Coturnix japonica: one gene and its partner. The protein of the gene in region 1 interacts with the protein of each later gene in a biochemical or structural test. Links are inferred from orthologs where the notes say so. Each region holds a gene or a part of one and is shown in the gene's direction. Other genes may lie near its edges.

What was found.
Region 2: the proteins of NF2 (region 1) and AMOT form a complex in vitro, tested with the Homo sapiens proteins (2 studies listed by BioGRID and IntAct). The link is inferred for Coturnix japonica from reciprocal best matches to the Homo sapiens genes NF2 and AMOT.

The regions. Positions count from the first base shown.
Region 1 is NC_029530.1:9,911,175-9,914,925, reverse strand, and holds the start of NF2 (merlin), read left to right. Parts: upstream 1-1,501; 5' UTR 1,502-1,591; coding exon 1,592-1,705; intron 1,706-3,751. UniProt on the Homo sapiens protein: Probable regulator of the Hippo/SWH (Sav/Wts/Hpo) signaling pathway, a signaling pathway that plays a pivotal role in tumor suppression by restricting proliferation and promoting apoptosis.
Region 2 is NC_029519.1:12,294,759-12,298,409, forward strand, and holds part of AMOT (angiomotin), read left to right. Parts: intron 1-2,113; coding exon 2,114-2,236; intron 2,237-2,879; coding exon 2,880-3,112; intron 3,113-3,651.

The DNA.
Region 1 (3,751 bases):
CCTGCTCCCCCTTTCCAAAAGTGTGGACCCTCGGCACAGGGCGGCAGGGCTGGGCATGGGGCATTATCAGGGATGGGAGCTTAGAGGGGTCCCCTCAGGTCCCTGTGATGTTGTGCCTTGTCCTCCTGGCCCCCCACTCCCCAGGGTCCCCTTTCACTCCCTCCTGTGTTTGCCTTTGTCCCTCATGCCCCCTGTCCCCCCATGCTCCCACAAAGCTCCCCATTCCCCCCCAACACCCCCCAATCTTCTCAATAGCTCCCCAGTACTCCCTTGGGTCCCCCCCATATCCCCTCATAGATCCCCATGCCCTCACTGCCCCCCACATAGCTACATACTATCCCATAGATCCACAGACTCCCTCGGACCCCCATATCCCCCACAGCTCATCATGCCTCTCCCAGACTGTCCCTTAATTCCTCATGCCCCTCTAATCCCCCCTTACACCCCACATATTCCCCCATATACCTTCTACTAATTTGGGTTCCCTTGGACCCCTCCATACCCCCCACAGCCTCCCAGACCCCTCCCGGACACACTCAATACCCACTATGCCCCCTCCCCACCTCCCCATGTACCTTCCCATCCCCTTGGTTCCCTCATACCCCCACATCCCCTGCAGCTCCCCCCAGACCCTCCATAGCCCCCCATGCCCACTTGGGTTGCAGCGTTGCTGTCAGCCATAGGGTCCTTGTGGGGCTGGTTGGAGGGAGGGGGGTGGCACCATGAATGGTCCCATTCAGCCCTCACCCGCCCCACAGCACAGAGGCCCCATTCTGTGGCATGCGGGGGCACTGTGATGCTGAGATGGGGCCTGGAAGGGGGCCCCAATTCTTTTATCCCAATCCCATAACTCCTATGCCAGTCTCAATCCTCATCCCATTTTCATGATGCTGGTTCCAGTCCCATCGTGTTGTGCTGTTACTGTCCCGTTATCCCCATGGCAGTGCTGGTTCCAACCCTTGTTTCATTATCCCGGTGCTGTTCATTATCCCCATTCCCACCCCACCATCCCAGCTGTGGTTCTGGTCTCATCCCATTATTCCCTGTGACCCACTCCCATTCCATTTACCCCAGCGATGGTCCCTATTCCTGTGCCATGACCCCAGTGCTGGTTTCAGTGCTCATCCCACTATCCCAGTGCTGGTGATCCTGTCCCATTACCCCCATTATTCCCACTCAGCCCCATCCCATTATTCCATTCCCAATCCCAGTCCTGTACCGCTGTCCCAGTCCCGGTTCCATTCCCATTGTACCTCTATGTCCCGTTGCTGCCCGTTCCTCCGGCCGCAAGGGGGCGCCACATCCCCGACCCAACGCGTGGGCAGGAAGCCCTCTTCTCAACCCCCACTTGACGAGCGGCCGTTCCATCCAATCCGCACCTCCCTCTCTTCCCTTCTCTCTGTCTCACCCCACTGCGCGACGCTCGCCGCTTCTGATTGGCTCCCGTGCGGCGCGACCCGCGGGGAGAGGGCGGGACGATCAGAGCTCGGAACCAATAGCGAGTCTCCGCTCTGAGGCCGTGCTCGGCGCGGCCCGGAGCCGCCGCCGCCGTTATGGCGCTGCCCCCGCGGCGCTGAGCGCGGCCCGCATCATGGCCGGGGCCATCGCGTCCCGAATGAGCTTCAGCTCGCTCAAACGGAAGCAGCCCAAGACCTTCACGGTGCGCATCGTCACCATGGACGCCGAGATGGAGTTCAGCTGCGAGGTGACGGCTGCGGCCTAAGCTCCGTTGCCCCCCCGGTCCCGGTCCCGGTCCTGCTGCGGGGTCCAGGCCCGGCCGGGGGTCGTAGGGCTCGGCCTGAGCCCGGGGCGGGTTGTCGGGGCTGACACACACGGGGCTGGGCCCGTTGCTCGGCACAACGCGGGGCTGCGGGGGTTGGTCGTGGTGAGCCCTGCCCCGCCGCCCTGTGTCCGTACCGAGCTCAGCTCGGCCTTGTCTGTGCCTCTCAGCTCATCCTCACCGGGGCTGTGTGGCCCCGGGGGCCTCGTTTGTGGCTGTTTGCAGATCACAAAGTGCTCTGGTAGAGTCAGCGAACCATCTCTATCCACGTTAAAGCATCAGCTGTTAAAAAGGAAAACTCAGTGGGTTCAAATCGCAGCTCTGGTCCCTGTGAGCAGGAGGGTGTCTGTCCTTGTGACATCTCACTGCTGAAATGCACTGGGGCACACTGTGCCATTCCCAGGGATTAAGAAGTTACTGTCACTTCCAGCTCCTGGCTGTTACCCTCCTGGCAGGGTTGAGGTCTATGGGCTCTGCTCTCACACTTCTCTAGGCTGCTGACAATGAGGTGATGCGGTGGCAGTAACTCTCCTTTCATACAGTGGCCACTTGTTGTTTCATGTTGGGATTAGGGCATTTATGAAGAGGGCTCCCAGTCAGGTTGGAACACGTACCTTGTGCACCTTCAGCTGCCTGATGGGGTGGCCCCAGCCAAAGACCTCACAGCAGAGACTGCCCAGCCCTTGGGGGAGCTGAGAGAGGCTCATGGGCAGCGTGCTCACACCTCTGAGCTCTCGCTGGAGCATGGGGGAGCTCAGGCTTTGACCTCCAGTGTGAAAGCCTCCCAACAGCAGGGAAGAAAGGATTAGGCTGAGTGGCTGCTGAGGCACATTGCATGAGTCAGTTGTGGCTGTTTGAGCTCCCTGGCTGCGTTGCTGCCTCCTCTGTGCAGTGACAGCTTCAGGGAAGGTTCGTCTGCTTGCTGGCTGTATCCAAAACACATCCACAGAGACCAGTGCCTGCCCCATTACAAACAACTGCCTCACACCTCTGTGCCTTCGGTATCTCAGCCTCGTGCTGTGTGCTTGTGACCCTTCCAGTGATGCTGGGTGTGTGCAGGGTGAGCAGTCTGGGAGGTGCTGTGGGGAGGCTGGTGCTGCTTATGGTCTGGGGTCCTGTTTAGCCCTGCTTGACTGCTGGCTTCTTTGACCAGTGCTGATCACGGTGCCAGTGAACCCATCTGGGTGGAATCCAGCTCTGCTGGAGCAGCCTTGCTATGCAGATTTAATCTCCCTGGCTCTTCTTTAACTTTATTACAGAGCTCTTGAGGCACGGTCTGTGTTTTCCTGAGTGATGCTGCGCAGGACAGAGGTGACATAGAGTGGTGAGGTGTTGTCAGCATGATTCAAGGTCTGATAACAACTGGCTGGGTGTGACACAAGGCACTCAGGCTGTAAATTCCCATCTGGCTCAGGAGGAGCACATGTGAGCCTGTTTCACCCCAGTTCTGCTGCCACCTCTGGTCATGGCAGCTCCCTTTATTCTGAGCCAGCTGATGTGTCTGTAGCTGTGTCAGTGCCACCTTTTTCAGTCTGCACTGTAGGAATTCCTGGCTGGGTACTGCAGGAGATTAAACCTGCTCTGCATCTGTTGACTCTGTGCATAATGTCTCTAAATTGAGTCTAAATCTGAAATAATTCCTAGAAATGAAATCTTAATCTTTCTAATGCTGTGATGAAGCTTAATAATTGCAGCTGGGGCCTCACTTCAAAGACTTGTAATTTGTTCAGGGAAATCTTAAAGACACAAAGTCAACGTCTCCCTTTTTGTGTTAGTTCCATTAGAGCTCTGTGAGAGTGGTGCCTAATTAATTGATAGCATCTTGAGCAAGGACAGACATTTGCATAACTATTGAAATCCCTCTGCTAAGCTGCTGCTGGCTGCCCCATCTTCCTGAGCACCACCACGCAGCTCCTGCACTCGGATTTCTGTGCTTGGAGAGCAGCAGGAGAGAAAAGCTACTGGAAAACA
Region 2 (3,651 bases), on another chromosome or scaffold:
CAAACCTCTGCATATAAGTGGAGCTTGGCTGTTTTGCCTGGGAGCTGTGTGACTTAACTATAAGAAATTTTTTGCAAGGGAATGTTCCCCAACATGCAAGAGCCATATTCCAGGCTGGAGTTCTCCTAAGCCATTCCTAGAAGCTATTGCTTCAAAAATAGATGTGTGAGGAGCGTTGTTGGGGTTGTTTTTTTTCTTTTTTTTTTTTCTCTTTTCAAACAGGAGTCAGTCCTTGCTGAAGTCATGTGGGATGGGGTGAGTTTGGTGATTCACATCGTTCGCCCTGAATGGCTTGCTTGTTCTCCAGAATGTTTTTGCAAATTACTTTGTGGTATTGTCCTCCACATGGTTACTAACCAGAAGCATCTACTAGGAAATTCTGCTCAAAACATTCTGCTGTGTGTGGAGAGTAGTTCTTGTGGGAGTGGGAAGGGAAGGGTGTCTGAAATTGGGTAACAAGCTCACATTCCAATGCAGCTGTATAGAAGCAGTTATTATGGTTATAAATAGGCCCAAGTCTTCAGCTCGCTTGTAAACAAGCACTGCTATTGGAGAGCAACTCTTTAACTTCAGGTAGTGCTTACATGTAATTTCATTGATCACTAGTTTCAGTTTCTTAACAGCAGATTTTATTTTAGATTGTTTCACAGACGAGATTCAAATGGGGATGTTATCGCAGCTGGCTTCCTAGCACATAAGATCATACTGAAATTACAGGGGCAAAGTTGCAGATCTGCTGTGTTAGCAGTTAAAGACTTACCTTGCTCCCCAAGCATGCTGTTATTTTGGGGTATTGATGCTTCTTGTGAACTGTTTTCTGCCTCCCCAGTGATTGTTTAAAGGCTTTTGATACCGCTTGGCCCTCGAGGCTATGTTATATTTTCAGCATGCACTGATAAATAGAGGTCTGGTCTATTGTTTATCATGGGGTGAGAGGGGATGTGTTAGGCCTGTTCGGGTTTTGTTAAATGAACAAAGAATGCTTTCCAGTCAGGAAAGAGCAAACCTACTTTTCCGTTTCCTTCTAGCTCCTTCTCCCTTAAAATAAACTGTTCCATCAGTACCGCTGCCAGTTTACATGCAGTTTATTATAGCCTTCTCAAAAACAGGCTGTAAGGGATTTCACTAATTTCAACGGTAACCTCATCTACACTGTGCACAAATTTGCTTTCCTTTCTCTTTGGTGGTGAAAAATAGCATCCCTTAGGAAGACGGGGTTGCAGGAAGGATGCTTTACAGCACAGGCAGGAATCTAGGTCACGTTAGGGTTCTTTGATGAGTGACCTTCCTATGCCCTTCAGACTCATTTGTTGCTGTTCCTGGTCTGAACTTTTGCAGGGTTAAATGTACATTTATCAGTCAGTTCTTAGGGCTGCTGGGTCTAAGAGAGTAAGTTTCTAATTACAATGAGTTGCAGCTATTGGTAACTCCAACTGTTTTTTTAATTAATACTATGTTAACACATAGCTATGTCAGTAACATGCTCTTAAGCATTAGGAATCATACAGTGGTATAAAGCATAGCACAGTATCTTCATTCTGACTGTACAGCAACAAGTAGGATGACATGTTTTGGTTAATGGAATGAACAACCATTACAGTGTACACGTCAGGCACTAATTGATCTTAAACTGTTTTCAGCCCACTCTTAAGTTTTTTGGATCAAGTTGCTTAGAAATGCTGAAGAAACTTTAGTGCGTAGTTCCCTTCGATACTCAGATACCCACTTCTTGGAAGAGAAGGGGAAAAAATCTTGCTTCTGAAGCAAAGTTTGTACTTTTTCAGATGAAGAGAAGTGACTAACATTTTATATTATCTTTTCCCATCTCTTCCCTTGGATTTGCCCCATCCGTCTGTTTAAGTTAGCACAGTGCATCAGTTAGATCATAGACTGGCCTGAGATAGACAGCAAGTTGACTGTTGTTAGTATTATTTGCATATTTTTATAATCCTTCTTTCATTACGCCTGGGAGTGGGATTTTCAAAAGACATTGAGCCAGCCTAGGCTCAGAAACAGTAGATGTTCTTGTTACTTTTGAGCAATCAATTAGCACCGCTAGGAGGAAAACAGCATGCTTAGTTTGCCCTTCATCTGCTCTACTGCTTGTTCCCAGGGACACAACAGTGATCAGCCACTCACCTAACCCTAGCTATGACACCTCGCTGGAAGCTCGCATTCAGAAGGAGGAGGAAGAGATCCTGCTTGCCAACAGGAGGTGTCTGGACATGGAAGGAAGGTAAAATGCAGTTTGTCCCTATTTGACTACTTTAGGACAAGGATTTTAAATGAATTATTCAGGTAGATGCCTCAGAACCAGAAATTCACGTGTCTTCACCAGTCACAACAATGTAGAATGCCAGACATTTGTTTGACCAAGGAAGTAACTGCACAGCAATGCAAAACCTGTATTTCAATTTAGTGCCTAGCTTATTCCTCTCTTTTCAGGCCGTCTTCATCAGACCCCAAGTTCCAGTCACTTCTTTATTGTTTCACAGAGTTGTTTTTCCCCAGGGGAAATCGCAGGGATTTTTTGTTGCAGACTCCCCAGACTTTGTGAATATTCTTTTGTTGTTGTTTTTTTGGCCTCATGTCCCACCCATAACTCTCAGCTTTGCTTCAGAGCATCTTCCTTGCCTGTTTAGAGCAGCTTCCAGTAGCCAAAGGTGAGGGGGTGTCTCAGTGAAGTTTTGTATGTAGATGTACAGGAGGCCTCATACACTATGCCGTGTAGTGTCAGAGAACAGCCAGTATTCGAGGTGTCCTCTCCATGCCTACCTGAATGCCCAGGGGAGTTCTAGTCACAGCTGTGGGGTGCTGAGGCCTCAGTCCAAAGTGATGGAAGTTGAAGCATGTTGTTGTCCTTTGTCCTTTTCAAAAAGGATCAAGACTCTGCACGCTCAGATCATTGAGAAGGACGCCATGATCAAAGTCCTGCAGCAGCGCTCCCGGAAGGAGCCTGGTAAGACGGACCAGCTCTCCTCCATGAGGCCTGCCAAGTCACTGATGTCAATCTCAAATGCTGGCTCGGGCTTGCTGTCCCACTCATCCACGCTGAGCAGCACTCCCATCCTGGAAGAGAAGAGGGAGGACAAGAGCTGGAAAGGCAGCCTAGGTAATTTTTAAATAATGGTGGTGATTAAGATACACCAGTCTCTGCCTATAGGGGAGGCAGGAACAGCAGAAAGTAGATATCTGACAGACAGATTGACTGGCTTAGCATGCAGGAAAACTGCCTGCAAGCAGAATGGAACACACTTGCAGCAGCTGCTTGCTTTAATCATTTTTGGGGAAGCTGTGATATCCAAGCTCAGTCATGAAAATTGTTCAGCTTTAATTCCCACTTGGTTTGGTACCTGATAAAAGCAGTATTTGAGATCTGGTTTTCAGAGTTCCCAGGCACTTGCTTTCAGCTGGGCTGTTACAGCTGTCTGAGGGTGTAAAGTCTCCTTCAGCCAGCTGAGATACAGATCAGGATTGCCATCCTGTAGAGCTGTGCCTGCACTAACATGACTTTTGTCTGGAATGGCTCGGCACTATTGTTTGGAGAAAGGAAATTGTATCAAAGGGAATCTTAGATGATGTTTTTCTTTCTCTAAAGAAGTTGGACCCAGGAGTCTTCCCTGAGTTTCTGATAAGTAAATGAGAATCTCT